3 linked regions of the Lonchura striata genome follow. The protein of the gene in region 1 purifies or fractionates together with the protein of each later gene. This does not show direct contact. Links are inferred from orthologs where the notes say so. Each region holds a gene or a part of one and is shown in the gene's direction. Other genes may lie near its edges. The genes, in order: RABGGTB, RAP2C and PTP4A2.

Region 1 (7,820 bases):
GAAAAACTATTAACCCTATCCTAGCTGGCACCATGACATGTAAAATGTGTTGTATCAACAGAAGTGTGACACAATGTAGAGTGATTATCCATTCTTTTAACAAGACCTTTTTGTACTCATATTTAGCCCATAGTTCACTGTAATACTCAAGTTTTTTACTGCAGTGTTACTGTCAAGAAATTATTCCATGTCATGTTGTAATTAGTATATTAGCATATACTATGCTGCAATTCTTCATTCAGCAAGAATATTTTACTTGCATTTGGCAAAACCAGTAATCTTTATTGATATCTAACAGTACCAGTGACTAGATAAAACATACCAAAGTAGATGATACCAAGAAACGCACATAGACTATGACCTCTAATGATTGCTAACTATAACAGCTGTCAATCCAAGATTCTAGGCAGTTAATATTTGTCTTACAGCTGACTTCAAAATGCAAACTATTATTGCCACTAGCCAAGAATTAATTTTTCTCAGTTTAAGGAAAGACAACTGCTATGCTGTAATCTAAAGGTCCCTATAAATAACTTCACTTTCGTGAAAGAGGAAATGAATGACTCATTGAAATTTATGATTGAGATTTTTTTCTTGTCAGGTTGCATGCTGTTTTAGAGAATGATGGTGTGAGGGTTGAATCTCTGATTGACTGAGATTGATTTAACAAATTCCCATTATTACTTAGTTTTTTCATTACAGTGATCCAAATGCAAGGCTAAGTAGGCTTGTTTTTCTAATTAATCAGACTTAGTATTAAATTTTTTATGACTGTCAGTTCCATTTCATCCCCAATAAAATTCAGGAAAGGTTTTGTCTTGCAAATATTTTGTCCATGTCTCTTGATTATATCTTACACTTCACTGTGCTTTGCTGTATCATTGCTCAATTCCAGATGGTAGGTACTTTTGGCCATATGTTGCATGCAGAAATCTTGATTTTTCAAATTATCTTTCATATGTTTGGTCTTTTTTTGAATTACACAATCCTTTTATTGTGTTTACTGATAACATTTTTACATGTCCTTACTGTGTCCTAGTTTTGTCCAGCTACACATCTTGGCTACTTTGATAGAAACTCTTAGGTTTGGAAACTCTTAAATTTGGAAAACTTCCTTTCTTTAATTGTCAGAGAGTCTTGAAACTATTTCCATCAGCTTATAAATAAAATCTTTCCTGTAATTACTTAGTAAGATTGTGAGTTGTGATGTCTTTACACTTGATTTACATGGCTGTGTTCATCAGTAAGTGCAAATTTTAGTGCAATAGGAGCAGTTTGGTAGATTGCAGGAACAGCTTCTGAGGCCCTGACAGCTATGCTCTAAGCAGTTTGACGAGTCTGAGTTCATAGCAAACCTGTTTGGTCCCTTGGAATTTATGTCCCTGATAGGCATCCAACTGTTAGGGTCCAGGTGCAGGCTTGTACCATTATGGCTTTCCTAGGGATTGGTGAATGTTTAGTATAGAGAGAAAGCAGAGCTTCCATTTCAGTTGGTTTCAGAAGGCACCTAGTACTCACAAAACACAGTCTTCTCGGTGGACTGGATCAACATGGGGTAAGCAGCAGCAGAGAATTCACCCTGGGAATCAACAGCTTGTTCTGAACCAGAACACTAATGTGAACACAGGTTATAGCATTCTTATTTTTAAAATGCTTTTAAGGTTCCTGGAAAGATTATTCCTGTAAGTGAATTTGCATAATTTTCAGCAATTTGCCAAACAAAGTTCTGACAGAAGTGGGAGCTGAAACATTAAAGCCTCTAGACTATGTTGCCTCAGCCATTGCATTACATTGCAGTATGCCTGTGGAGCATATGTCCTCCTTTGGCATTAGAACTTCATAGGTGCTTTATTGTTTATTTTTGACTTTGCTACCAGCAAACAAACAGGACAGAGGGATGATGCAGGCTGTTTCTTCAAGAAAATGCAAGAATAAAGAAAACCACAAAGAAAACCGTGTGGGAGAGAGTACTAGTTAATAAGAAGCAATGGAAATAAATGGATCAAAGACAACATATGGTTATGACCTTGAAAGTCTAGTTAAAGAAAACGCTTAAGGACAAGTCATCTCTTCCCTTCTAACCATGATTTCAGATCCTACTTTGAAAAATCTAAATAATGTATTTTCTTCCTCAAATAAGAGGAATGTTGTAATCTGTTTTCATGAGAGCCCTACTGACTTTAGGTTAGGAGCACCTGAGAGAACAAGACTTTCTCAGTATCTTGTATGAGTTACATTTAATTTAGCCCACTGTAATTACTCTGGCACACTGGAATTTTCTCTGGTTTTTTTCTGTCTTCTGCACATCGTAATCCACATTGGATTAGTGCCATGGAGGTTGAAAAATGTATACCTGTTAAAACCTTTTTAAAAATCACCCAGTAACATTATTGCAATTCTCCTTTTCAGATTTATGAGGGAACTGCTCAGATTCAAAGGATGATCATAGCTCGTGAACATGTTGGCAAATTTAAGGCTTAAAGAAATATATAAAGTGTGTCTGGCACTGCTGTAGTCTTCTGTGTTCTTATGGAAGATTTTAGTGTGTTTCTCAATAGAATTAAAAAGGGATGAAAAAAAAAGCTTCAAAATATTTTTATTCTGTTCATTATTAAGCACTGATTCTGTTCTCAGTATAAAGTAAGATAGAGTGTAATTTTTGACAGTCAATGCTGCATTTAAATAAAAAATTTTTAAGAGAAGTGTGGTTAGTTTGTATTAATTTTGCTTGTCATATCACTTACACTGGACAACTAACCCAAAATACAATTTCTGAAGTAGGTTAATAGCTGTATTTCAGTTTCTCTATGCTCTTGCCCGAAGCAGCTGAAGAGCTATTCCAGCTGAGCAGCAGGAAGACCTGCATTGCTACCGTCTATGTGCATCTGTGCTGGGGATTTATATAGTAGTCAGCAGTATCAGTATCAGCTTGAGAGAGTCTGGCCTTTACACTCTGAAGCATGTACACATTAAACGAGGATGAATCACTTCAAGTGGTAATGACTTAATAATGATTTACAATATGTCTTTTATTTAAAATCCAGTATATTTAAACACAGAATCAAAGAGTATGCTGAGCTGGGAGGGAGCCACAAGGACCCTCAAGTCCAACTCCTGGCCTTGCACAAAAATCCCACTCTGTGCCCAAAAGCATGGTTCAAATGCTGCTTGAGTTCTGGCAGCCTTGGAGCTTGTGACCTGGCAAGCCTGTTCAGTGCCTGACCATACTATGGGGGAAAAACCTTCCTCTAATACCAAATGTAAACCTTCTGACTCAGCTCCAGCCATTCCTTCAGGTTCTGTCACTGAGCACTAGAGAGATGAAATCAGTGTCTGTCCCTCTTCCCCTCACAAGGAAGTTATAGACTGTGATTAGTCTCCTCTCTGACTCTTGTACAGGTTGAACAGACCAAGTGACCTCTGCCACTCCTCATACAGATTCCCCACAAGGCCCTTCACCATCTTGACTGCCCTCCTTTGTGTACTCTCTAATAGCTTAATGTCGTTCTTGTATATATAAACCTATTACTGCTTTCCATCAATGTATATACTTAGCTATGCTTGCAGCAAAAACAGCCAAGAAGAAGGCATTAGGATTTTTTTTTAACCTTGGATAGACTTTTCCTGGCAATGCTGGCAAAATTGACATTTCCTGGAGTTCTTAGACAAATTACTGGATACGTGAGGCTGTACTGAATCCAGTTCTAGGCTCCCCTGAATAAGAAAGAGGGGGACTTAAAGAAGGGAGTCTAGCACATGGCCACAAAAATATTAAGGGTCTGAAGCATCTGTCATGTGAGAAGAGGCTAACTTTTTAGCCTGGACAAGGGAAAGCTCAGATAATTTTATCTATGTGTATGAATACCTGATGGGACGCAATAAAGGGGAGGGAGCCAGCCTCATAGTACCCATTGACAGGAGGGATGTTATATGCTGGCAGAGGTGATGGAGTCTCCATTTGACTCTCAAAACTCAACAAGTAGTGTCTTGAACAACCTGCCTCTAGCTAAGCCTACTTGGTGTAGGTGGGTTGTGCTCCATGATTTCAAGAGATATCTTCAAACCTGAGTAATTCTAGTAAGTAATTTCCAATTTCACTCCAAAATGTCCTTGCTTCTGTCTGGTCTCTTTCATGTCTCATCTGAATTTACCGGATGGTTCTACTGCTGTCATCAGGTATAAGCTCTGCCTGCAATCCTTACTTCTTGGGTAAAATACCTGGAAAATCAGTTCTTTAAAGAAAGCAGTTAGTCTCTATAAATTACTGATTTTCCCCCAAAACCCATAATGCAACATCTTTAGTAAGTATTTGACATATGTAAGAAACAGACCTTATTTTTGACTGTCCTATGCAACACAGCATTATGTTTAGTACTACTTCTTTGATGTTCCTGCCTGGTATAGTTCAGGGGGAACATGTGCCAGCATCAAGAGTTGGTAATCATGAATAGAGTCACCCAAGACAATTTTAATGAAGAAGCAAGAGAAATGGTTTTGAGCAAAAGGACAGCTATCTTTACCCATTTTACCTGCGACTAAATTCTTGGATTTGCTTTTTCACAGACCTGAGGAAGGAAACCGAAGTTATTTCTAAACGCTGTCCTATTTGCTGTGATGGAAGAAAGTGCACAGCTGGAGCAGACTTTACCTGCCGCACGTCAGAAGGCAAAGGCGGCTGCCGGCCCCTTGAAGAGCACAGCGCGGAGCAGCGGCGCCGCTCGGCCCCGCCTTCCGCCTCGCCGCTTCGCCTCTTCCTGTGGGGCACGGCGAGGCCCCGCCGGCCGCCGCCTTCCGCCTTCCGCTTCGCCTCCTCGCCTCCTCCTGTGCGTGCGGAGAACATGGTGGGTCGGGGCTCCGTGCTGCGGCTCGTCTGGCGCGCGGCTGTACCGGCCTTGGAGGGGCGCGGGCCGCGCCGAGCCGGCTCGGGGCGGCTCTCGCCGCTCCAGCGGCCCCGGGAGCGCGCGGGCTCGGCCGGGCCGCGCGGAGTCGTGGGGGCGCGGGGCGGCACGGCCGGGCTCGGGGAAGGGCTCCTGCGTCCGGCACTTCAGGGTGTCCTTGGCGAATTGGTGTTACTTCTTAGCTTTATTGCAAGGTTTGGTTCGTAGCCTTTCCTGGGGAAGGGTTTAGCCAGGCTGAACAGTGATGGCGTGAGATGCGCAACCTGACCTAGGCTCAAAATAGGTAGAGGGATGTTTTTTTCCCGAAGTCACAGCCACCGGTGTTGGCTCATTTATACCAAGTTGCTAAAACGTTTTGATCTGACATTGCAACTGACTTCTTGATGCTTTTTACAGGGAACACCGCAAAAGGATGTTATAATAAAACCCGATGCCCCAAGCACATTACTTTCAGAAAAACATGCGGACTATATAGCTTCATACGGAACAAAGAAAGATGATTATGTACGTATCAGTTTGTTACAGTGCAGCTGTGGTTTTGTTAACAGTAATAACCTTTATTTATTGGCTCAGATTTAAGGGTTAGATGCATGTTAACTAGCTAATTGTTTTTTACCCTGCAATCCAAAGTGTAAAACAAAGGTGCCCTTGTTAATGTCTCTATGTCTGTGGTGACTTTTGTCATGTATTATCTGACTATAATTTTGAAGATTATTATTTTAGCTCTATAATTACTCTGAGACCTGAGAAACAGCCTACTAGCTTCTTTATCCACTAGAATGCACAAGTAGAGTTGCATTTGCATGTTACTCTTTTGATGGGACAACTTACATCTATTTTGCAATCATAAGTGGTTGGATGTAGTCCACAAAAATGGAATTCCACTTCCGGCAGTAAAAATTGTCAATAACTGCTTACATGAAGAAAAGTTGCGGTTACCTTTACTGTTCAGAAAAGCATGCCAAGCACTTGCTTTCAGTTGTAGTGCATGTAAAAAATAATGTTTGTGTAGTGCAGGTGATGTAATCAATGCAAGAGAATTCAATAAAAAATTTCACTCTCTAGTGCAACTTTAAATTGTAAGGGTTTTGGCACTTTGAAATAGACTTGTTATTATCTGAGACTAGTTAGGGTGGCAATTTGAGGGCTTCTTTGGATGTCAAGATATTAAGTCATCTGAAGTGAATTGGTGCCCAACTACTTGTTCGTGGCTAATTTGACATTGAGCTTGATGGTTTGAACTAGAAAAATACAGGGAGGAAGGGAGTATAGTACGTGTTGATATCTATATGTACATTTTCCCATATGTATGAGTATGTATATACACATGTGCGTGATGTACCGAATATCTCTGAGTGGCTGATGTGTAGTTGCTAAATGGTTGGAAAACGATTCACTAACTAGAAGCTAAGATATTTGTGGAAGTTAACTAATGTATTTTCATTGCGCTATATTGATGGTGTGCTCATCTGATCAAGAACTAAAATAATACACTATTTAGGAATACTGTATGTCGGAGTATTTGAGGATGAGTGGTGTGTACTGGGGACTGACAGCGATGGATCTCATGGGGCAGCTGCACCGAATGAACAAAGAAGAAATTCTGTCATTTATCAAATCGTGTCAACATGAGTGTGGTGGAATAAGTGCCAGCATAGGTCATGATCCTCATCTTCTGTATACCCTCAGTGCTGTCCAGGTAAAAGTAGAAGGGTAATTTTAGAAAAAAGTGTTTGTGATTAAGTTTTTATGATTGTAGATTTATGAACCAGTTACTGTTGGAGGCCCATGACAAAAATTATTTCAGTATCTTATTTAAAAAAAAAAAATAATCTAATGGACAAAACTGTAGGATTTAGCTGTGTCACTTTCCAAAAATTGTCCTATTTGGGAATGTTTTACCTTTAATGGTCAATTAATGGTTACAGCATTGTTGCCAGTTTTGTAAGTTATCTTGGAATCCTCCTTAGCTACAGGTTTTATTGGAGCATTTTATAGATAATTTTTTATTTTATAAATTATTCTTAGTGCACGCTGAGGTGACAGATATGTATGACCAGAACAAGAGCAAATTTTTTTTTTTTATATGAGTTTATTTGGGGTGTATAATTGAAAAAATTTACTAATCTGTTGAGCATTTAATTTATTTGGTGAATATGCTCCCCCTGATAAGAAATAACTCTCTATCTTATTTTTTTCACTGCAGCTGTCTCTGTTATAGACTTATTTTCTCACTATTGCTCATGCCTTTATTTTGTTCTGGTTTTTTGTTCTGCTGATGCAAACCATTGTGTGAAAAAGTACCAAAAAGGCTCAAACACTTCTGAACAATTGGCTTGATTGCTTGCAGTGAGTGTCTTTCATTCAATCTTCTGGATGAAGTATTTTAATGATATTACAAAAAGTAATAAAGCATTCTTTTTTAGGCAGAAACTATGCTGGATTTAAGATGGTGGGTTTGAACCCCTTAGGTAGGACAGGATGCTGTAATGTTGATCATTATTGCCACTTTAGCTCTAGAATTACTCTGAATACTGTGAGAACCAGGACACTAAAGTTTTTCCAGGCTGTGATGTCTGAACATTTCCAAACTGTCCAATCCAGCTCCTTTCACATATTCCAGTTCAGTATAAGGGAGGTATAATTCGAGGTTGTTACCTTACAAATTAGATATGTTAGTTCTTAAATATGTACTTGATATTACTAGGAGATATTTTCATGTTAACTAAATTGAGCTGTAGCTGTCCAAAGTGAAAAAGTGTTCAGAAATGCTGATGTAAAATTTTTTGTGGTAAACTTAACCAGCATATCTTAATGCGTATGCATGGTCTTAGTGAACGAACACCATTTGGTCCTGTCTACATATCTGGGATGTTTAAAGGGTCATACCATATGTTCTTATGATCACAGTTAATAGTAATT
Region 2 (7,800 bases), on another chromosome or scaffold:
CCACGTCTGTGAGCCAAAGAGAGATGCTTCTCCCAGAAATCCCAACAATCTTCTTGGTGTATCAATTATATTTCAGTGCAGTCCCACTTCTGTTTCAGAATTAGTAAGTGCTTTGGAAAATGTCCTTTACTTCTTTTGAAGTACCATCATGCCTTTTGTTGCGACTAAAGTAATGGCTAAAAGCTGAGGGATGGCAGAAAATCAGAAATTTCTGAGAAAGGTCCTCAGGATTTGCCTCTGAGTCATCTCTATATTGGCAGGAAAAGCTGGCAAAAAAGAATAGCATCTCTGCAGGTTCTGAAACAGCCCCAGAATGAGGAGTCTGGGCCAGGTGGACACATCCAACCCCTAAGACATATTTCACTGGAATTTGACAGGGCTTAGATCAAAAGCTGTCATTGCAGTTCCGTGACTGGTGTAACACGACGACCTCCTTGAATGAGCTGCATGTGAGAGCAGCCCCCGGTGCTCCAGTAGCCATTCCAGCCCTGAGGAATGTCCCTGCCCTGCAGCTTCCACGCTGAACACCATAAGGCACAATAAGTGGATTAGCAAAACCTCTGGAAGAGGCAAAGAAGAAAGGACGCTGGGTCTTAAGCTGGTTTTGCATGTATTTACACAAATGACGTCCCCAGCTAGATGGCAACTGAGGTGAAATCTGGGCTATCCCTGCTGCCCTGGCTCAGCAGCTGCTGCAGCCTTCCTGGCAGGGCAGAGCCTGCTTTGTAGCTCGGGCAGACGTAGGGAGTCAGAGCAGATCGATGATGGCAGCGGGGACAGCCCACAGGAGGTGGTGGCTGTACAGCACCCACACTGTGGCTGCAGTGGGGAGGCTTTGGCTGCTGGGGGTGGTGCAGGCCCACCCTGGCATCCACAGGACACGTTCCAGACTCCTCACTCCATCCATGGCTTGGAGAGGCTCTTTTGTCACCTCTTGGGGTGACTGCTCCCAGTCCCACCTCCCTGTTGGGCACAGCACCGGGCAGGATTCATCTCTCCCATTGGTGAGATGGGGATTGCAATTATTCCTGGCCCTTGCTTGTGCCATCTGTCTGTTCCCTGAACATCCCTGCAGGATCTGTGTCTTAGCAGGTTAATTTAATAAGAGCCTGCTTTATTGTTGCTGGCTGCGGGCACAGCATAGAGCAGCTGAGTCCATCAACAGCACAGAGCTGCTCTGGCAGCAATCGAATCCTGCCCGGATGTTCATTTGGGAAGGTTGTTTTGCTGAGAAAGGGCAAACCCTCCTGGGGCAGCACCGAGGGCTGAGCCCTGCTCCTTTCTTCTTGGCAGGAGCCGTGGGGAAAGTGACAGCAGAGATTAAATCAGGCCTTTGACCCGGGATGTGCCGCACCTCCGGGGAGGGGATGGTGATAGTGAGGGAGTGGCAGAGGTGGCACTGGCAGGAGGTGCCCTGCACGGCTGGCTCAGGGCTTGGCCATTTATGGCAGAAGCAGCTCTTCCCATCCAGACTTTCAAAACCTTTTACATCACCAGCTATTTTTGTGGCTCAGGATATGTGGTAGGGCACAAGGCGGTGAAAGAGCTGTGCAAACTGTTTAATGAAGGGAATGACTTGTCTTAACGGTAACAAACAGCCTGGTGCACTTTGGGATTGGCCCTTTTTTCAGCTGTAGGCATCTATGCCCAGGTATAAAGTGCTGTGAGCTGGGAAATAAATCTTGGCAATCCAAATCAATACTGGGATTGATTTACGGAGGAGGGAAAAAAAATCCATTTTCCCAATCCTGTGTCCACCTGCTTGTTCTTCCCCTCAGCCCAAGAGCGAGGCGTTGCTGGCTAAAGTCAATTGCACAAAAATATATTTGGCTTTTCTCCCGCTGTGCTCTTTGCCCCTTCCTCTCCCGCAGTCATTCCTCCACCCATCACAAACATAATGGACCAGCAGTGCCACAAAGACGTGCACATAATGAACCTAAGTGACCGTGTAATCCTATTATTGTCACCCTCACCCTCCCTTGCTCCTTTGCTCCCTCCCCCCCGTTTGTCACTGTCACCGATTGTGTCATGGTTAAAATTAGATGGGAAGCTCCTCTGGGAGCACTGCGGCTTTCCTTTGTCCCGAGCACCCTGAGTGCATTAAGGTACTTCGCAACAACTCGTGATTTCTAATGGGGTTAAAGTAGGAGGCAGCCTGTTTTAATGCTCACCTTTTTACATTTTCGAGCTGATTCACCAGCCACATGAAAATCTTCCAGCCAGGCACGTCTGCCTCCTGCCAGCAATTCACTTGACAACACAATTCTGGAGGCAACGGTGAAGGAAGGCAAGGGCTTTTTACTTATATTTGATAAAGAAGAGTGAGTCAAATTTGGTGTAACATAAGTAAGATTTGTTCTGGAGGATAAAAGTCCTCATCCTCATTGACCTTTTCCCATAATGGACCTGTTGTCTTTATGGAAAGCAAGTGAACAAAATAAAGCTGTTTGTGAAAACAGCCACAAGCAGAGTCACCTCCTCAGTACCTTTGGATGGTTTTAGCCGCCTTGACCAGGCACCTCTCTATGGCTGCTGGAAACCCAGGATGGACACAACGCAGCAGCTGTGTGTGCCCTGGACTGGCAATCACACAGGTGATGCAAAGGGGAAAGGAACAAATCCAGCACTTCACCACGTGCCTGCTGAAATCCTGCAGGGAGCAGCAGAACAAACGTGTTTGTACTGGAGGGCAGCTGCTCCTACAGGTGGGAATCATCGCGTGGGTCTGGAGTGACTGGGGGGGTTTATTTTAGGGAGAAAACAGACGGGGATTCCTTCAGTCGGTTCCTCCTGCCAAGGGGAGTTCCAGGGCAGGTGGCGCTGGTGCCGTGCTGTCCCTGCTGACCCTACTGTCACCTGCTGACCCCTGCTGTCACCTGCTGACCCTGCTGTCACCTGCTGACCCCTGCTGACCCTGCTGTCACCTGCTGACCCTGCTGACCCTGCTGTCACCTGCTGACCCTGCTGTCACCTGCTGACCCCTGGTGTCATCTGCTGTCACCTGCTGACCCTGCTGTCACCTGCTGTCCCCTGCTGACCCTGCTGTCACCTGCTGACCCTGCTGTCACCTGCTGTCCCCTGCTGTCACCTGCTGACCCCTGGTGTCACCTGCTGACCCCTGGTGTCCCTGCTGACCCTGCTGTCACCTGCTGACCCCTGCTGACCCCTGCTGTCCCCTGCTGTCCCCTGCTGTCACCTGCTGTCACCTGCTGACCCCTGGTGTCATCTGCTGTCACCTGCTGACCCCTGCTGACCCTGCTGTCCCCTGCTGTCACCTGCTGTCCCCTGCTGTCACTACTGACCCCTGCCCTGAGCCCAGCCCGGCCGGGAGCTCCGCCGCTCCTCCCTGGGGGTTTCAGAGCCGGGCAGTGAGCCCTGTGCCAGCTGCACCAGTGCAAGGACACGGGGCAGATCTTGCCTGACCTTGCGTACCTCTAGCTGTGACCTGGAGGCAGCAGCCTGCAGAGTCAGGAATGCTTTGGGCTGGGAAGGATTTAAAGGGGATCTCGTGTCACCCCGGCCTCGGACACTGCAGGACTTGGGGCGGCTCCTCTGGGCAGCCTGTGCGAGGGCCGCACCGCCCGACAGGGACGATTTTATTCCCAATAGCTGATCTGAACTTGCACTCTCTCAGTCTGAACCCATTCCCCCTTTTCTGTCGCGACATGTATTTGTGAACATGTAAACATCCCTCTCTGTCTTTCCTGTAAATTCCCTTCAGGCACTGGCAGGGGCAATTAGGTCACCGCGCAGCTTTCTCATCTCCAGGCTGAACAATCCCAGTCCCAACCTTTCCTCATATCAGAGGAGCTCCATCCCTCTGGTGACTTGGTGGCCCTCTTGTCACCAGCCCAGCGGGCTGCCAGGGATGAAGAACCGCGGTGCCGGTGCCACAGCCCGGGTCCCCTCCCCCGCGGGAAGCTGAGAGGAGTTTGTTAAGGAGTTTGTTCAAGTTATCGAGTACCGAGCAGGAGCTCGTGGAGGGACAACGCGGCGCTCCCAGAGCCGCCCTTCAGGTTCGGGACGGCGGCCGCCATCTTGGCGCCGCCATCTTGGGGGCGGGCAGGGACAGCGCCCCGGTGCCACACCCAAACCTGTCCCCCTGCACAGCACAGTGCCTCGGTGCCATATCCAAAACTGTCCCCCTGCACAACGGTGCCACACCCAAACCTGTCCCCCCGCACAGCACAGTGCCTCGGTGCTACAGTCAAACCTGTCCCCCGGCACAGCGCGGGTGCCTCGATGCCACACCCAAACCTGTCCCCCAGCACAGCACACTGCCTCGGTGTTGCACCCAAACCTGTCCCCAGCACAGCACATTGCCTCGGTGCCACACCCAAACCTGTCCCCAGCACAGCACATTGCCTCGGTGCCACACGCAAACCTGTCCCCCGGCACAGCGCGGGTGCCTCGGTGCCACACTCAAACCTGTCCCCCGGCGCAGTCCGGGCGGGCCGTGACGCAGCACGCCGGAAGTGAGCGCAGGCGGCGGGGCGGGGCGGCCTCCGGTGTCCCAGCGAAACCCTTCCGGGCGGGCGGGTCCCGCGGCGATGGCGGGAGCGCGGCGCTGAGGCAGCGAGCGGGGCCGGGGCCGCGCCGGGCGCTGACGGGGTCTGGCTGCCCCCGGGACGGCGCGGGAGCAGCGGGGCCTCGCCCTTCACGGGAGGCGGGCCGGGGCTATGCGAGGGCCGCGGTGCCGCCTGCCCTAGGCCGGGCCCGGCGCGGAGCGGCCAGCGGGGCCCGATGCGGGAGTACAAGGTGGTGGTGCTGGGCAGCGGGGGGGTGGGGAAGTCCGCCCTGACGGTGCAGTTCGTCACCGGGACCTTCATCGAGAAGTACGACCCCACCATCGAGGACTTCTACCGCAAGGAGATCGAGGTGGACTCGTCGCCCTCGGTGCTGGAGATCCTGGACACGGCGGGCACCGAGCAGTTCGCCTCCATGCGCGACCTCTACATCAAGAACGGGCAGGGATTCATCCTCGTCTACAGCCTGGTCAACCAGCAGTCCTTCCAGGTAACCGAGCCCGGCGTCCCCTCCTCGCACGGAGCCGGCCCTGCCCGGGCCGAGCAGGAAGTTTTAGGGGTAGCCACGTGTGCGTGGCAGCGCTTTATCTCCCAAGGGCCGAAAGTGTAAATGCCCAGCTTGAAAGCGCGTTTACCAGCCCTGCTTCCCGGTGGAAAACTGCTTGCTTTGCAGGTACTTATCAGGGTGCCACCATTGTTAAGTCCCACGCAGTGCTGGAGAACAATGCCTAGCTCCCACTTCCCCAACAGAAATCTCTTGGCAATCCCCTTTTGTGAAGAAATCACTCGATATTAAAACTGAGACTTCCCCTTCCAACCCCCTCTCCTTCCTAAAAGGCATGTTTCTGCAGTTGCTCCTGAAGAGAGTCTCATTGTTCTACAGTTGTGACTTGTTAAGTGAGCTGCTATTTTCCGCTCCCTGCCCCCAAAATATATTCCTGTCCAGCACGAGCTCGATGCTCTCCCAGCGTAGGTGGAGTACTGGAGAGCAGAACTAGCTATACACGGTAATTTGTGGTTCTGGATTTGATTTCTACTATTAAAACTCTCCAAAAAAAGGAACTGTCTCAGCCAGTAATTGGTCTAAGCTGCCTGTAGAAACGGGGCTTTGTTTTTGGGCAGTAAGTGAGTTTAGCAGCACTCCGTGCAGCTTGGGAATTTGCAGCTCCTGCCTTGGCTTGGGCTGCTGAGCTGGGTGTGTTCCAGCTGCTTGGCAAGACCTTCCACACCCCCACTGTTTGCTTCTGCTGAAGGCTAAACCTTATCTCAGCAGAGGCCTCGAAACAACCCTGTGCGAGCTGAAGACACGCTTATCTCTAGAAAACAACAGCACTGACATTGGGATGCTTCTGCTCTCATTTTCACTGATTTTTGGGTTCCAGCGAGCCCTCATTATTTGAGAAATGCATGTGCAGTAATCTTGTTAATATTTAATTATTCCCGTCTGTCTGTAGTGTTTGCTCTGAAGGCTGTAGGTGTAAACCTCTCTGCAGTTCTTTGCACGGTGGTAACTTCAAACGCTGGGATTGCTTTGTCTCAGAACTATGCAAGAATTTGTAGTACCGATAGCAACTTAAAACACTCAGGGGGCAGAGGAGGCTGACTCAGACTTTCAAGTGTAAACGCCCCGTGTCGGCTCAGACTTGAATAAATGCATCTCTAGGTAATAAAATCTCTTTACAGCATCTAATTTGGTTACTTACATGTGATTAAATGTGTTCACAATGAATTATTCTAAGCATTCCAGGACTGAGAAGGCTTTATTTAAATTGATGGTTTTCTCAAGCTGTAAACTAAGCACAAACTTCCTAAATGGTTGTGTAATGGCACGCCCCTGCTAGGGTTACAGGTCGTTAGACTTGAGACAACTTCTTCAGAAAGGTGAAACCAGCCTTCAGAGCAGCAGTACCGTGTCCTCCTCTGGCTGAGAGCACAGCAGTCACTTTCTGTTGGTTTATGCACATAAATTCTTTAAAGTGTGCATGCTTTTATATGAAAGAAGAAGTAGTTTAGTGATAGGTGTTAAATTTTCTCAGAATTCTAGATCTGCGTGACTGTGAGTTTAAAAAGTCTTCTGGTGTATTTTTAATGTCCAGTTGCACGTGAGGGTTACTAAAATGTGTTCCTACAGTGGTTCTGTAGCAATTCCATGTGATTCCTTGCATGCACTAACCAGCTGGATTGTTTGACCAGGATATCAAGCCGATGAGGGACCAGATTGTCCGGGTGAAGAGATACGAGAAAGTTCCTCTGATCCTGGTGGGGAATAAAGTGGATCTGGAGTCGGAGAGGGAAGTCCTATCTGCAGAAGGCAGAGCCCTGGCTCAGGAGTGGGGCTGTCCCTTCATGGAGACGTCAGCCAAGAGCAAAACAATGGTGGATGAACTGTTTGCTGAGATCGTCAGGCAAATGAACTATGCCTCCCTGCCTGAAAAGCAAGATCAGTGTTGTACAACTTGCATCGTCCAGTGAGAGATATTAAGAAAAACCTCAACCATGGCCATACAGAGCAGGTTGGTGGAACATAACTAACTGAGGTGCCTAAACATGGTGTTTCAGTAAGAGATAAAGGGACAGGGAGTGTAAAATGAGGCAGCCTCCCTCCAAAAGATGGGAGATTGTGCACATGATTGAGTCAAATGGACTTCTTGCGTTACCTCAGTAGGGTTAGTCAGGGAAAGCTGCATTTGCTTGCAGTAATTTTACAATGACACAAAATGAGTGATCTCATCTGCACCTATTTTGACTGTCAGTGCTGTATTTGATGCTGTGTTATTCTGCATAAGTGCTTTGTGATGTTGCAGTGGGTTTATTCTTGTAGCTGGTATCTCAGTTATTTTCCAGTAATGGGAGTTACCTTGGAGTTCAATGGGATTATTGTGACCAAGTTTCCCAGTAGTTTTACTGAGAAGACTTTGAGCTTGTTTAAAAGATATAAAGTTCTGTAGCACAGAAACTGATAGTACCCTTCTGCCTTATCAGTGGAATAAGTTTCTTTTGCAAGAGAACCACCCTGAGTGGTGAGAAGTGGCTCAAAGCCCACATGCAACAGTCAAGGGCATGCACAAAGTGTTCTTCATCTCAAATCTCCAGAGCAGAGAACACACTGTAAAATGGCTTCCCATGCACAGCTCTCCTTTTCCAGTGACTCAAAAGAGGTGTGATGAGAGTCCAGCGTTCAGAGGGCCCTCTGTAAAGTTTCCCCTGTGTCAGGTGTTGCTTTGATTTTTATTTTTTTCCCCTCCAGGACAGCTGCCTTTGGCCTTTCACATGT
Region 3 (7,354 bases), on another chromosome or scaffold:
CTCAGGAATGGCGCGGGGCCGGTGGCGGGGTTGGAATCGGGGTGATGGAGACTGGGAATGGTGGATGTGGAGAGTAACTCATCCAGCCCTTCGTGGAGACAGGGAATGATGGAGACTGGGAATGGTGGATGTGGGGAGAGAGTAACTCATCCCATCCGTTGTGGAGGCAGGGAGTGGTGGATGTGAGGAGGGAGTAACTCATCCAGTCCGTCATGGAAGCAGGGAATGGAGGCAGGGAATGATGGAGGCATGGACTTGTGGATGTGGAGAAAGCAACTCATCCAGTCTGTCATGGAAGTGGGGAATGATGGAGACAGGGAATGGTGGATGTGAAGAGAGTAACTCATCCAGTCCTTTGTGGAACCGGCGGCATGGAGGCAGGGAATTGTGGATATGGGGAGAGAGTAACTCATCCAGTCCGTCTTGGAAGTGGGGAACGATGGAGGCAAGGAATGGTGGATGTGGGGAGAGTAACTCATCCAGTCTGTCCTGGAACCAGTGGCGTGGAGGCAGGGAATCATGGATGTGAGGAGAGAGTAATTCATCGATTCCATTGTGGAAGTGGGGAACGATGGAGGCAGGGAATGGTGGATGTGGAGAAAGTAACTCATCCAGTCCTTCGTGGAATTAGAGGTGATGGAGGCAGGGAATCATGGATGTGAGGAGAGAGTAACTCATCCAGTCCCTCATGGAAGTGGGGCATGATGGAGACAGGGAATGTTGGATGTGGGGACAGAGTAACTCATCCATTTTACCTGTGATCCTGCTTCTAATGTGCCCACTGCCTTTGTGCTTCCTATACGTAATGCCACTGTTTATGTGACCCACCCCATCATCGCACTAGAATTAAATCATAAGAAAACCCCTCAGAGCATAGAGTGTGGGCACGAAAGCTGAATGAAAAGTGGCAAACAGCAAACTTAGAATCCTGTGTTGCTAAGGAGCAACTAGGATTCCTTTGTGAAGGCAATAACATTAATGCTCAAGATGCGTGTCTCGGCACTGAACAAAGTATTTGCCACTTTGAAATCCATCCAGTCACTCCCGTCGTGGGAGCAGGGGGTGATGGAGGCAGGGAATGGTGGATGTGAGGAGAGTAACTCCAAGTTTTGTATTAATTCCCTTAAGTAGTGTGCTAAATACAGTTTTAGGTTCCCAACATAATGTTAAAATAGAGACTATGTATGTGGGGGAAGGTTTTTTTTTTTTTTTAGGAATGAGATACTCGCTTTGAGGAACACCTAAATCTTCCAAAGAAAAGGAATTTATGAGTTTTGTATCAGAAGAAGCGAATTTCTTCAGGCCTTGCTCAGACTCCAAGACACCGTGGGGATTAATGGAATTAGTTGACATACAACAGTTTCTTGTTTTAAATAGAATGTATACATAACCATGAGGGATATATGAATATGCAACAGGCTGTTGCTTTTAAGGTTATTCCTTTGTTCACAAGGGATGCTTTTTGTGACTTAAGTGTCCAAGAACATCCAGACATCCGTAATTCTTTGCTTTTTATTGTCTTGCAATTGTCCTAACTCTAAACTTTATTGCTCTAATTGTATTACTATTTTTATAACCATTTCATTATTATTAAACTTAAAATTTGAAAAACCAAGTGATTGGCGTTTTTCACAATTATCAGAGTTTATGTGACTCCGGTTATGACTTTGCAGAGCCATTAAAGCCAGCGAAGAGGCACTGAGCAGCTTCTCTGGGTATTTTGAGGGACAAAGGTTTGCTGGTTCCTTTTTTCTCACCCTCACTTTTGCCCCTTCGTGGATTATTCAGCCGGGAATGCCGTGCTCCAGCCGGGAGCGCCGTTCTCCAGCTGGGATCGCCGTGCCCCAGCTGGTGTTTCCCCGTGTGTTCTTGACCACGGAACCGGTTCCTCGATCCTGATCCTCGATTCCCAATCCTGATCCTGATCCCCAGTCTGCGATCCTGGTTCCCGGTCCCCGATCCTGATCCCAGTCCCCGATTCCCGATCCCGGCCTCCGGTCCCGATCCTGGTCCCCGATCCCAACCCTAGTCCACGTTTCTGATCCTGGTCCCCGGTCCCCGTGCCAATCCCGGTCCCCCATCCCAGTCCTGATCCTGATACTTGGTCCCTGGTCCTGATCCTGGTGCCCGGTCCCCGTCCCAATCCCGGTCACTGATTCCCGATCCCGGTCCCTGATTCCCGATCCTGGTCCCCGATCCCAGTCCCGATCCTGATCCTCGGTCCCTGATCCCGATCCCCGGTTTCCGATCCTGGTCCTCAGTCCCCGTCCCAGTCCCGGTCCCCAATCCTGATCCTGGTTCCCGGTCCCGATCCCAATCCCCATCCTGGTCCTTGGTCCCCGGTCCCGATCCCGGTCCGCATCCCCGATCCCGATTGCCGATCCCGGTCCTTGGTCCCCGATCCCGGATCCCAATCCCGCTCCCGGATCCCGATCTGTCCCTGATTCCCGATCCCAGTCCCCGTTCCCGGTCCTTGGTCCCCGGTCCCGATTCCCGGTCTCCGATTCCCGCTCCCGAGCCCCGTTCCCGGTCCTTGGTCCCCGGTCCCGGATCCCGGTCTCCGATTCCCGCTTCCGGTCCCCGATCCCGAGCCCCGTTCCCGGTCCTTGGTCCCCGGTCCCCGATCCCGAGCCCCGTTCCCGGTCCTTGGTCCCCGGTCCCGGTCCCGGTCACCGATCCCGGTCCCGATTCCCGCTCCCGGTCCCCGATTCCCGCTCCCGGTCCCCGATCCCGAGCCCCGTTCCCGGTCCTTGGTCCCCGGTCCCCGATTCCCGCTCCCAGTCCCCGATCCCGAGCCCCGTTCCCGGTCCCCGGTCCCCGATCCCGAGCCCCGTTCCCGCTCCCGGTCCCCGATCCCGAGCCCCGTTCCCGGTCCTTGGTCCCCGGTCCCCGATTCCCGCTCCCGGTCCCCGATCCCGATTCCCGCTCCCGGTCCCCGATCCCGAGCCCCGTTCCCGGTCCTTGGTCCCCGATCCCGGTCCCGATTCCCGCTCCCGGTCCCCGGTCCCGGTACCCGATTCCCGCTCCCGGCCCTTGGTCCCCGGTCGTGCTCCCGATTCCCGCTCCCAGTCCCTGTTCCCGGTCCCGATTCCCGGTCTCCGATTCCCGCTCCCGAGCCCCGTTCCCGGTCCTTGGTCCCCGGTCCCGGATCCCGGTCTCCGATTCCCGCTTCCGGTCCCCGATCCCGAGCCCCGTTCCCGGTCCTTGGTCCCCGGTCCCCGATCCCGAGCCCCGTTCCCGGTCCTTGGTCCCCGGTCCCGGTCCCGGTCACCGATCCCGGTCCCGATTCCCGCTCCCGGTCCCCGATTCCCGCTCCCGGTCCCCGATCCCGAGCCCCGTTCCCGGTCCTTGGTCCCCGGTCCCCGATTCCCGCTCCCAGTCCCCGATCCCGAGCCCCGTTCCCGGTCCCCGGTCCCCGATCCCGAGCCCCGTTCCCGCTCCCGGTCCCCGATCCCGAGCCCCGTTCCCGGTCCTTGGTCCCCGGTCCCCGATTCCCGCTCCCGGTCCCCGATCCCGATTCCCGCTCCCGGTCCCCGATCCCGAGCCCCGTTCCCGGTCCTTGGTCCCCGATCCCGGTCCCGATTCCCGCTCCCGGTCCCCGATCCCGGTCCCGATTCCCGCTCCCGCTCCCGCCGCGGGCTCGGGGCAGCGGAAGCCGCGGGAACCCCCGGGCGGGCCGAACCACTGAGCGCGGTGGGGAGGAGCGGGCTGTACCACTGCGCTAGCGGGGGGGGAGAGATGCTGGCGTGGAAGGCTCCGTGTGCACGTGCGGCCAGAGGGCCGGTCCAAGTGCGGGGGGGGCCGGGACGTACCAAGCGTGACTGGGGACGGTCAGGGCGAGCCGCCCTCGGGCTATACCAATGCCCAACGGGGGGGAGAGGCCTGTACCACAGGATATAACGGGGGATGGAAGGAGCCGTTCTCCGCTACACGGAGAGGGGCCACCTCCCTCTGGAGCGGGTTGCTCAAGGCATTACCTAACCCGGCTTCGAACAATTCCAAGCTCGGGGCATTCCACAACTGCGCCAGCGCCTCGCCGCGCTCACAGGGAAGAATTTCCTCCTCACACCGAACCTCTGTAGCTCCCTGTCTCGTCAGTGCAGTTCGTGACGGGAGCTTTCCCGGGAGGCCACGCCAGACACTGAAAAGCGCTACGAGCTCCGTTCCCGGCTCTTTCCCCCCGCACGCCTGGAATGGACGCGCCCAGCGCGCTGCCCCGAGGCGGGGGCCGGTGTGGGCGGACCGTACCACCGCGCGGGCCGTGGGTGTGCGGGGGGGGGCGCGGCCTGTGCGCTCGGAGCCGTGTGGCGGCGCGCGGGGCTCTCGGTGTCTCCGGCCGGACCGGGCCCAGCGCAGCCCCAGCCCCGTCACGGAGCCTGCCCGGCCCCCGGCCCGCTCAATGCCCACGGTGAGAACCGCGGAGGGCGCCGGGCCAGGCGGGACGCGCCGCCCCGGGGGCTGGGGGAGAGGTGGCGGAGGGGCTCGGGGAATCCCGGGTGTTGCTTGGCGTGTTTGGTTGGAGGGGGTTCCCTGCTCTGGGGGGCCTGCAGAGTCTCCTTCGGCCCTTGTGGGTGGTTTGGAGGGGGTTTTGTGCTCTGGGGGAGGCTGTGGGAGGGTCAGGGTTGGGGAAGGCTGAGGGGGTGGTTTGGGGGTGCAGGGTTTGGGGTGCAGGGTTTGGGGTGGCTTTGGGAGTGAAGGAGGTTTGAGGGTGCAGGGTTTGGGGTGAGTTTGGGGGTGCAGGAGGTTTGGGAATGGGTTTGGGGGTGCAGGAGGTTTGGGGTGGCTGTGGAGGTGCAGGATTTGGGGGTGCAGGGTTTGGGGTGGGTTTGGGGGTGCAGGATTTGGGGGTGGGTTTGGGGGTGCAGGGTTTGTGGTGCAGGGTTTGGGGTGAGTTTGGGGGTGCAGGAGGTTTGGGAATGGGTTTGGGGGTGCAGGAGGTTTGGGGTGGCTTTGGAGGTGCAGGATTTGGGGGTGCAGGGTTTGGGGTGAGTTTGGGGGTTTAGGGTTTGGGGGTGCAGGAGGTGTGGGGTGGGTTTGGGGCTGCAGGATTTGGGGTGGCTTTGGGAGTGAAGGAGGTTTGGGGGTGCAGGGTTTGGGGTGAGTTTGGGGGTGCAGGGTTTGGAGGTGCAGAGTTTGGGGTGGCTCTGGGGGTGAAGGAGGTTTGGGGGTGCAGGATTTGGAAATGGGTTTGGGGGTGCAGGGTTTGGGGTAGGTTTGGGGGTTTAGGGTTTGGGGTGGGTTTGAGGATGCAGGAGGTTTGGGGGTGCAGGGTTTGATGGTCCCCAAGGCTCTGCCCAGCTTCAGGGGCTGGTTTGGGGAGTCCTTCCCGTTGTGGAGGAAATTCCCGGCCTGTGGGGTTTGTTTGGGGGATCCTGCGGGGCTTTGAGGGCTCCCTGCATGCCAAGAGGAGGTTTGGGGGCAGCACAAAGTTCTGGGGTCCCCCCTGTGCTTGGGGGTGCTCTGGGGGTCCCCCTGTGCCTGTGGAGGGTCCCCAGGGCTGGCTGGGGACAGCTTTGACCTGCAGCTTTGGGGGTCCCTTCTCTTTTTTGGGAGGTCTTCCTCATCTTGGGGATGTGGGGGGGCTCAGTGCCCACCCCCAGCCTTGTGTGGTTTTGGGGGGATGTTCAGGAAGGGACGGCATTTCCTGGGGGGGACAGGGAGGCTGCAGGAGGGTGGGATGTGGGGTTTGTGCCTGGTTTTTGGGGGGAATTTGTACCTGGCTTTGGGGGGATTTTGTATTTGCTTTTTGAGGGATTTGTACCTGGCTTTGGGGGGAATTTGTATCTGGTTTTTGGGGGGAATTTGTATGTGGTTTTTGAGGGGTTTCTACCTGGCTTTGGCGGGAATTTGTATTTGGTTTTTGGGAGAAATTTGTATCTGGTTTTTGAGAGGTTTGTACCTGCTTTTTGGGGGGAATTTGTATCTGCTTTTGAGGCATTTGTATCTGGCTTTGGGGGGAGTTTGTACCTGGTTTGTGAGGGATTTGTGCCTGGATTTGGGGAAATTTGTATCTGGTTTTTGAGGGATTTGTACCTGGATTTTGGGGGATTTTGTACCTGGATATTGAGGGGTTTGTGTCTGGCTTTTTGGGGAATTTGTACCTGGCTTTGGGGGGGAATTTGTACCTAGTTTTTGAGGGGTTTGTACCTGGCTTTTGGGGGAGTTTGTGCCTGGTTTTGGGGTTTTTTTACCTGGTGTTGGGGGGCATTTGGAGAGTGTTTTGAGGGCAGGGGTGTTACCTATTCCTGTGTGAATGGGGGACAAGCTTGATAAAAGCTATGTATTTTTTGGAGGGGTGGGACAGAGAATCCTCGAAGTGGCCTGCAAAGGGTGAAGTTTTTTTTTTTTCTGTGTTTAGGGCTGGAAAAAGCTGGGGGTGAGGGGTGACATTTCTCAGGCTGGAGGGGGGACAGGAAAGGAAGGGGTGTCCAGGATATGGTGGTTTTCCTGGGGTGGGAATTGGGGGCAGGGCTGTGGGGCCGGTTTGTCTGGATAAAGGGCTGTTACCCCGTGGGATTTGGGGCTGGGAAAGGGGGAGCCGATGGATTCTGAGCCGAGCAACGCCTCGGGAAAAAAATCCTGGCGTGGCCCGGGGGTGCTGCGAGTGACCTGCGGGAAGGTCTGAGTCAGGCAGGGGCGGATTTCTGGGCAGTGTCAGCTCGGGGTGAGTTTGGGATTGAGAAGGAGCTGAGCTTTAGGATTTGGAGCACAGGTGAGGCTGTGGGGAAGTGCTGGAATTGGCTTCTTTGGGCTGTGATTAGTCACCACCTGCATTTTCTCCCCGGGGCAGTGTGCGCTCTCTCGGCTGGTTTCGGGGTGAGGAGGAGGAGGAGGAGGAAGGCAGAAATTTGGCTTTGAAAAAGCTCCTGCATAAATGGAAACTCGCCTCGAAACTCCCCGAACGAACCAGGCAGGGTCTGACTCAGAACTGCAGTTAGGATTTAAAGAGGGGGGGGGGAAGGAAATAAAAAATAAAAAAAAAGAGATACCCACCACTAGCAGCAGCCAGAAAACTCTGTCTGCTTATGACTCAACATGTAGAAATACTTGGATTTAATCAACTCAGCTGGAGTTAAGGTAGGAGTGTGGATGCACAGCCAGGAATGTGGGTCTTACTCAGGATCTAGTTGTGTTTTTTTTTTTCTCTTTTTATTTATTTATTTTTTAACACCTCAAAAAACACCTCAGTGAATGATTCCAGGCTGAATTCCCTGCAGGGATCCATCCTGCTCTTCCCCACTGCAGTGCTCAGAGCTTTCCCTGCCTCAGGGCAGAGCTCAGGCTGCTCCCCTGGCTCCTGCCAGGACTTTGCCCCCTCTGGAATTCCAGGTTTGATACCTGGGAAGGCAGATCC

The links.
Region 2: the proteins of RABGGTB (region 1) and RAP2C purify together in Homo sapiens (co-immunoprecipitation; 3 studies listed by BioGRID and IntAct, counting the BioPlex papers as one, with this or other methods). This does not show direct contact. The link is inferred for Lonchura striata from reciprocal best matches to the Homo sapiens genes RABGGTB and RAP2C.
Region 3: the proteins of RABGGTB (region 1) and PTP4A2 purify together in Homo sapiens (affinity purification with mass spectrometry; 3 studies listed by BioGRID and IntAct, counting the BioPlex papers as one, with this or other methods). This does not show direct contact. The link is inferred for Lonchura striata from reciprocal best matches to the Homo sapiens genes RABGGTB and PTP4A2.

The regions. Positions count from the first base shown.
Region 1 is NC_134611.1:4,026,984-4,034,803, reverse strand, and holds the start of RABGGTB (geranylgeranyl transferase type-2 subunit beta), read left to right. Parts: upstream 1-4,756; 5' UTR 4,757-4,838; coding exon 4,839-4,841; intron 4,842-5,294; coding exon 5,295-5,402; intron 5,403-5,568; exon of another isoform or gene 5,569-5,644; intron 5,645-6,399; coding exon 6,400-6,597; intron 6,598-7,820. Other genes in the region: ACADM (medium-chain specific acyl-CoA dehydrogenase, mitochondrial), read left to right, coding at 2,410-2,481. UniProt on the Homo sapiens protein: Catalyzes the transfer of a geranylgeranyl moiety from geranylgeranyl diphosphate to both cysteines of Rab proteins with the C-terminal sequence -XXCC, -XCXC and -CCXX, such as RAB1A, RAB3A, RAB5A and RAB7A.
Region 2 is NC_134616.1:7,565,695-7,573,494, forward strand, and holds the start of RAP2C (ras-related protein Rap-2c), read left to right. Parts: upstream 1-4,723; 5' UTR 4,724-4,743; coding exon 4,744-5,016; intron 5,017-6,719; coding exon 6,720-6,998; 3' UTR 6,999-7,039; intron 7,040-7,800. UniProt on the Homo sapiens protein: Small GTP-binding protein which cycles between a GDP-bound inactive and a GTP-bound active form. May play a role in cytoskeletal rearrangements and regulate cell spreading through activation of the effector TNIK.
Region 3 is NC_134628.1:1,142,332-1,149,685, forward strand, and holds the start of PTP4A2 (protein tyrosine phosphatase type IVA 2), read left to right. Parts: upstream 1-4,255; 5' UTR 4,256-4,408; intron 4,409-7,354.